Solanum lycopersicum: one gene and its partner. Each later gene encodes a partner of the first gene's protein in a complex. Links are inferred from orthologs where the notes say so. Each region holds a gene or a part of one and is shown in the gene's direction. Other genes may lie near its edges.

Region 1 (4,221 bases):
GTACAGGAGGAAGAACATGAGTAAAAAGAGATGGAGGTTTGTGTGATTGTCAAATTTGTGTGTATATATATATATATATATATATATATAAAATAGAATACTTATATACATAGATATTTGTATTATAATATTAACACTCGTTGAAAATGGTGATTTACAAATACAAATATATCTGGATACATAAGTAATTTATCCAATTTACAAGATTGATTAGGCAATACAAGTACAATTGGATACATTAATACTATATTTTTATAAATACCTAAGTTAACACCAAGCTTCATGTATTACAGGATCACTTACCAAAAAGAGATTGGCAATTGTTATTTATCAATTTTTTATACAGGCGAATTCTTATATACTTTGATACCGACACATTCTATTATTTTCTATTTTTTTGTTTCTACGTTGTCCAATTTATCCATCTTTGATTTAGTAACACAATGTATTCATATGTATACTATATTGCATTCATTTTTTGAACAACAATAATGTATTCATTTTTCAAATAGCCGTGTTCATATGCTAATTGTCATACTTTAACTTGTTTGATATATATATTGATACATTAAATTCTTACAAAAACTTGTATCATTGATATATATATATATATATATATATATATATATATATATATACACTTTACGTTTTATAAATATAGATACTAATTTGAATTCAAAGTATTCATATACTAACTGTACACAATTAATACATTTTCCTTATTTAGTTTGTTGTAATTAAACTTGTATTACTGTATAAATAGAAAAATAATAATATTTAAAGAATTAATACAGCTAGAAAAAGATATAAATTGTATTCATTTTTTATAAATAACATACTTGTAGCTATTGAACTTTGATAAATCCTATAAATGTAGTCATTTTTATAATTTGCTGATTAATGAATGTATACAGAAATTTGGGCGGAGTAAGACAGGATTAAGGAGATTCTTTTAAATTTTCTTAAGCAGAACATTATAAGAGTAATCCTCATCGGAGTATAGCATGACGAAAGAGGAAGAAAAGAAAGATTACTATCTAAAAAAGAAGTTGACGAATTACTAATAACCCTCGTATAGAATTTATCAATGACTAAGTAATCAAACATGTTAGTAATTAATATGACTTGTAGCGAGCGTTTAGATCTCTCTTTCTTAATCATATGTTTCAAATTCAATCCCATAAATGAAAAAAATCAGTTAGGAAAGTCCCCTCTAAAAATGTGCCCAGTCGTGTGTGAATTCAAATTTTATTTAAGCCTATTACTAATATCAAACATCATGTTGGAAGCAAAAAAGACCACGATCCTCAAAATGAAGTGTAATACACACATATCGAATTAAATATCGAACACCTGATAATAGACTCGTAAACTAATTTAAAAAGTAGAAAAGAAAGTCCCTGAAATAACCACCCCTATCCGTTAAAATTTGTCAAAACACTTTTTGCTTGGACAGTGAACACAATCCTGAGTTCTCCCTTATCAACAATGGCGTCTCTACTCTCCATCTCCTCTGCATCACCTACAAGAACAAATTCAATCATTACCCAGTTTTCTTCATCATTCAAGGTACAATTTCTCCTCTTTAATTTTTCAATTTCTGTCAAAATTATACAATTCTCATTTATCCCCATCAATTTTTTTCAGGGTAATGTAAGTAATTTGAAGTCAAGTTCGAAGCTTTTGCCTTTAATAAAGGTCTGCAATTTGAAATCTAAGTCAATAACAAGAACCCCATTTGTTGTTTTCAACCAAACTGCAAGTTTTGGTGCTGATTCTGCAACTGGGAGTGTTCGTTTTCGGCTTAATAACTTGGGTCCTCAACCTGGGGCTACCAAGAATAGGAAGAGGAAAGGTAGAGGGCATTCAGCTGGACAAGGGGGTAGTTGTGGTTTTGGTATGAGAGGTCAAAAATCAAGGTCTGGACCTGGAGTTAGAAAGGGGTTTGAAGGGGGTCAAATGCCTCTCTATAGGAGACTTCCTAAGTTGAGAGGAATTGCTGGAGGTAATTTGTTAACATTGCTTCAACATAATTATATTATCACAGGGGTCGTTTGGTACAAGGGATAAGAGATAATAATCTCGGGATAAAATGTTGGATTGCCTTTGGTTAGGGGTATTAGTTAGTCCCTGAATATCTATCTTGTCATTTTTATAAGATAATGATAGGATAAGTTATCTCATATATATATGGCGGGATAACTAATTCCTCGGGATATACTAATCAATGGGATAACTTTGTCTATCTCATCCCTAGTACCAAATGACCCCTTAGTTTGAGTTGGATTTTGTTTTTCCTTGTTTTGTTGTTTGTTTCTGTGTCCATCTGCAGTGTTATAGTTTACCATTTAAAAGTCTATGGATAAGTGTTATAAAATTTATAGCTTTAACTTGACTATGTGTTCTTTTTTATATTTGTGTTCGGGGCACCTTGCATGCAGTAGTGTTGTCAAAGCTGTGCATAAGCGAGGTTCAAAATGTGTTGAGCGCTTTGTCTTGCTTAATGTGCTCTTCAGGGTCGTCATCAAGTTTCTTAGGCATTCTTTTGAGTCTCTTTAGGCAACACTAAACAATTGATATTTCACTTAATAGTAAAAAAAATAATTTCTTTGTTCATATATTTGTCATTCATGCTTACAATTATTATTCTTAGACTAAACAAACATATGTATTTGTATTTCTCCCTTTGCTCCTTTTTATATTAAAGATCATGCTTTATTCACGTTTTATGCTTAGTCCCAATGGTCCTCAGAGTTTTTTTGATTTGATAACACTGTCATGTACTTAATTCCACGGGTACCTGCTTCTTCCTGCCAACACTTGTGTTGGATATTCCTTTGCTACTTCATTCCTCAACTAATGGAATACAAACTCTTTTTTCTGCCCTGCCTGGTGTCATCCATCTCCAAATAGTAAATGCGCTGCTGAGCGGATAACTCTATCCAGAAAGGCTTGGATAAATGAATATTGAACAGGAGACATTATGGTTCTCAACCAACTCCATTAACAACTACGCCACTCACTTGGGTGCACTGTGTGTATCTTTGTTTACAAGCATGTTTGTTTTTCTTTTGGTTGTGTCATTGCAGAGGCAGATTTTCATAGGATGATAAAAAGTCTTATCTGCATCTGGTGGACATATGTGTATGCATACTCAAACTGTACTGATGATTAATCTAAAGAAATTTATTACAAATGATCAATATATTGCACTAAGAAATAAAGCTATGCATAGTTATATGACATCAAGGCAAATATCTTGAAATTCTTATTTTCTTATTTGCAATATTCTGAAATCCTCAACATTTTTATCTTCCTCTATAATCCGAAGACTGTTACCCCCTTATTTAAACTAAAAGGAAAGCCTTGATCGATATGAGAGAAATGTGCTCAAGCATCCAACCAGGTGTAACGTCTGTCAAGAAGTTTCTTACTGCAAAATGAACATTCTAGGAGCTCTCACTCGAACAAATGCTCCTTATGCCATCATAAACCGAATCAGCGGATATAAAATCTGTCCTTTCCTAACCTTCCCCTAGCAGGAAACTTATTTTAAAAGGAGGAGGATTTGGAAAGTTCATACTAAGGAGGTAAAAAGGCCCTCGAGTCAAAGGGCTATTCTTCCTTTGATTTGAAGAGAATGTCAGTGCCTTGACTCTCTAGTCTCAGTGTGGCTCTTGAGTAGTCTTCACTTTCCCTTATGCATGGCGTTTGATTAAGTATTTTCTTCAATGTCAAGTTGTTGGTATTACTAAGATGATTCATAACTGTCCTTTATTTTTGGCGTAACTTGTATCCATTCGCATTATATAATGCTGAACCTTGATACTCACACCTAGAGTTGTGTGTCAAAAAATAAGTTCTTACTTTTCTTAGGCCTTTCATACTGATTAGGCCTTGCCATGTCTAATTTTTATAACTTTGACTATTTTAGGCTATTCTAACTTAATAACTGAAGTAATTGATAGTGCTCTTTGTAAAACCTCCAATCTCGTCTTTTAATTTGTTTCATTATGTGTTTTGTTGATTTAGTTAAGGATTTCCCTCAAGTCAGGCTAATCTGTCAAAAGCAATTATCTACTACATGTTTACCACCTTTGCCACCCGTTCCTTGTATACTCAATATTGCTGACTATCAATTTCATTGACCGGTTAATGCATGAAATATAAATAAAGGACCATATTGATTAGCAGAAGTTTCTGAAGGGACAAACTTGTAAG
Region 2 (4,229 bases), on another chromosome or scaffold:
AATTTTAACTTGGCTGATGCACTTGGAGCAAGTGACAGTGAGAAAAAAGAATAGAAGGTTTCTACTTCTATAATATATCAAAAAATGCATATTATTAGGAAATGTATTATACCAACATTATATTTAGATTGTTTGGTATCTAACTCTCTAATTCTAGCATGATTGTTTACCAGACCAAGCTGATAGAATACGTTGGACCAACCAATAACCAGAGGAGTTCAAGGAGGCTTTCAACCGGACGAGAGGGGTCAAGTAGAGCTGTGTTTGCCAAGACAATGTTGGGCTATTACCAGCATATATTGGTGCTCTATTATTTTGTGATGGTAGATAGATTTAGTGCTATAGTAGCAAAATTTCAGTTGTTGCTACTCTCAGCAACAGCATGCCCAGTATCTTTCCACGAGCGAGATCTGGAGAGGGTGGGATGTAAACAAACGTTACTCCTACTTTTGCTACTTTATCTTATATAATTTGAGGGTTTTTCCTCTAGTTCATAAATTCTAAAATATTACAGTTGTTTGTACCTGAGAAGTGTTGTAAAAACCTTCTTTATGTCTATATTAATTTGATGTTACTGGAAATTGAGTACCTTTTAAGATCATTTTGTCATATATTAAACACTAAAATAAATTTCAGTCTTCTTTTATTTGTGTAATTTTTTTGATTTATTTTTTTTTCCTTCCAATTTTGCGGGCTTGATTTTTAACATAACAAATGGCATTACTTTTGTTCTTATTTTACTCTTCTTACCACGTATTTGTAATCTTACTTCTACGTTTTAAAGATAGAATAATTATTTTTTAAGAGCCTCAAATTAAATAAAACATATCAAAAATAGTACTAGCACTATGAAAATTAAATATAATGTATATGTAATTGCAAAAAGTAGATGGGAGGCTTTACATAACTAACCTCGAGTCAAAATTAAACAATGATGGCTTCAAGAGTAAATGACCTATTATATAATTTAGAATATTTGTTAATCTCTCCATTTCAAAAAGGATGGTCTAGCTTGCCTTGAAACAGAATTTAAGAAGAAAAAAAAATTTTTTAATCTTGTGATTCTAAATTAAAGTTATGTCAAATGTACCAAAATATCCTTTAATCTTGTGGTCTTAAACATGTCACGTGGAAAGTTCAAGTTAAAATATTATGAAAAAAGGAAATGAGTTTTTTGTTTTGAAACAGACTAAAAAAGGAAATAGAGACGTTCTTTTTGAAACGAAGGGAGTATTATGTTACGAGAATATGTAAATTTATACTATTTCTAATACAATTATTTTTAAAAAAATAAATAAAGGATTTCGGGGTAAAATAGTCATTTGGCTACCACTGCAGATAGGATAGGCTTCAACAGATAAAATTGAGAGAGAGACAGAGAATACCCAAAAAAAACCTCTCACTCTCTAACAATGGCAACCCTTTCCCTGTGTTCTACATCTTCCCCCTCAACAGCACTTTCCAAGAACCAAACTTTTCTTAACACCCTTTCTGTTCCCAAAGCAAATTCCAATGTTACTTTTCTATCTCACTCATTTTCCTCTCTCAATCTCCGTTTCTCCAAGCCCAATTCTTTATCCTCTTTTGTACCCAAATACTCAGAATCTGAAGCTCCAGTAGCTGAAGTTGAAGCTGACCAAGAAGAGCCTGTTGTGGAAGCCACTAGCTTGGAACCAAAACGGGAAGAAATCTTTGCTGTTGTTATGGTGACGACTCACTTCCATTCATGTTTAAATTTGTGTAGACATATCTGTTTGTTTTCAATTTCGAAATCAATGTGAGGGTACAATTTAGATTTTTATTGAAAAAATTATGAGGTCCCAAATGAAAATTTGAAAATTCAGCGGAAAATGTTTCAGTTGTCTGTTACCTTGAATTTTTTTCTCGAAGGAAATAGGAAATTGATCTATTCCCTCTAAGGGAATGTTACTTTGTTGTATAGAGATCACAACTTTGGTTCAAGATTGTCATGTGCTCAACCTTTGATATCACAAAAGCAGTCGGAATTTTAATAAGGGGAATTCAAAATTACTCAGACCTATTATTGAAGCAATTTCTCGAATTAACCTTTGCCACTAGAACGAAAACTTCCTTTATGTCAAACGGATTAGAAGTTCCAAAAATTTGTTTTCATGAAGAATGTTCCACCACACCTCACTCACTTAGTTCATATTTCGTGTTTGCTAGTACTGTTGATACATTACTGCTTCCTATGGTGTATGTGGTGAAAATAGGGAGTGTTACAATGAAATTCTTTCGTTCTGTTATTTATACGTCAATGCCATTCTGTGATGCTTAGGTTTAGCATTCTGTTTTAGGGTGTCTTAAAGGAACAATACACATGTCTATATGTTTGTGTCATATTGACTTGGCAGTGGTGGTGGCTATTGGAAATGTTAAAATAGTCCGTGCTAAATAAGCTGAACTGAACTTTTTATATGCTTAGTATTCTCCAGTAGAGTTGGCTGATGTTAACAGAAAACTATAATTATTATGAAGACATGACGAAGATTTAGTACTTGGTATATCCTTACCTGTGTTCTGGACACCATCCAATTTCAAAAATCTCAGTCTATGTTCTCTTTGGTTTTAGTTTAATTTCGTTTTACAAGTGGGCCATCTATTTTCGGTAGGCGTTTCCTCTAGTTAAGTTGCAAAGGGGTTCATATGGCAGATTAGAAGTAATATAACTAATAAATAACTGATAACTATCATTTAGTTCTAACTTTAGGTGTTATACAGTTGTCAGAGGGAATACATATCTACAAGTCCATGCAAACATTTAAGCAAAAGTCTAGTAATTGTTGAAATTTGATTTTGAGGTTGCCATATTCTACACTTTCATCTTTTATTTAATGTGAATTGTGAACTATTGTATTTAACCGGAGAAAACATTCATGTTTACTACTTATTTGATGAATATTTTTTCTTTTCCATGTGGAAAATACTCACTCTTGCGAGGAGATTATAGCTGCTATTTCAATCTGATCATTATTCCTGCTGCTAACAATTTTCAAGTCCTCTAGGTGTCAAATTTTGTGCTTTATTTTGTTCTTTTTTCTTTTTTTCAGATGAATGTGACACTACCCTAATATAACTCTATGGGGCTTGTCTTTAATACGTTAAGCTGTTTGTTCATTTTTGCTCTTTCGCTTTCATAGGTTGGATCTCGGCAATATATTGTTTTTCCTGGGCGGTATATCTACACCCAGAGGCTTAAAGGTGCAAATGTCAATGACAAAGTGAGCATTTTTGGTCTTAATTTACAATTGATTTCCCAAAATCTGGTTACCTCTCTGTGGCTTTGGCTTTAGTTACGTGAGTTGTTTTTCTTTTTCCTTGTCTCGCTATCTCATATCAACATTGTGGTGTCCAATCAAAAAGAACTTGCTTGCAGCAATTTCTCAATTATGTCAAAAGGCATCAATTTCAACCAATAGTGACATTTGCTTGTCCTATTTCTATTATCTTTAATACATTGTCTTCACCAGTTATTTTCCACGGAAGCTAACACTTGATATAAGGGTTATATGTGTATGTCAAGGTTTTCTTGCCATATTGGCAATACTCTTATTTCAAAATTTCCACAATGAGGATCATTGTTGAAGCATCTATACTTGTTGCTTCTGCAGATTATCCTAAACAAGGTGTTACTTGTGGGAACAAAAACAAGTACTTGGGTTGGAAAACCAGTGGTGCCAAATGCAACAGTCCACGCTGTTGTTGAAGAGCAGGTCAGACATCATTCTTCCTCTGCTGTAGTTTCCACTGAGTATATCTTGTTTACTTGACATATCTGTTGGCTCATTATTACATTTCCATGCAGTTGAAAGATAAGAAGGTTATCGTCTTCAAGTATAAGAAGAAAAAGAACTACAGAAGGAATATTGGTCACAGACAGGTATCAAAGAACTGTTTTTAGTGATATCTGAATAACTATAAAGTAGTTTGAACTTTTTTAACCTATCTGTTTGCCCTTAAAGCAAGGCGCACCGTAGTCTATCATAGTTTTAACTATGTCTGCAAATAATTACCATGCAAACATGAAAACTGTCTAAATCAGTGAGCTTACAGCCATGTATGAGACATGCCCCTTAAAATGATATTTGTGCAGAATATCATAACTTGCCCTTGCTTATGCCAAACTAATTCGGTTTCTGTAATCATGCAGCCAATTACTCGGATAAGAATAATGGGCATTACTGGTTATCAAGATTCACCAGCAGTCA

The links. Proteins that work in one complex are often made in the same cells at the same time.
Region 2: large ribosomal subunit protein uL15c (region 1) and large ribosomal subunit protein bL21c share a complex: the UniProt entries of both Arabidopsis thaliana proteins name them as parts of the 50S ribosomal subunit. The link is inferred for Solanum lycopersicum from reciprocal best matches to the Arabidopsis thaliana genes RPL15 and RPL21C.

Annotation. Positions count from the first base shown.
Region 1 is NC_090804.1:3,795,191-3,799,411, reverse strand, and holds the start of large ribosomal subunit protein uL15c, read left to right. Parts: upstream 1-1,295; 5' UTR 1,296-1,488; coding exon 1,489-1,569; intron 1,570-1,647; coding exon 1,648-2,005; intron 2,006-4,221.
Region 2 is NC_090805.1:43,261,602-43,265,830, forward strand, and holds the start of large ribosomal subunit protein bL21c, read left to right. Parts: upstream 1-1,289; 5' UTR 1,290-1,412; coding exon 1,413-1,706; intron 1,707-3,161; coding exon 3,162-3,242; intron 3,243-3,632; coding exon 3,633-3,734; intron 3,735-3,826; coding exon 3,827-3,901; intron 3,902-4,171; coding exon 4,172-4,229. Other genes in the region: calcium-dependent protein kinase 11, read left to right, coding at 1-54. UniProt on the Arabidopsis thaliana protein: This protein binds to 23S ribosomal RNA in the presence of protein L20.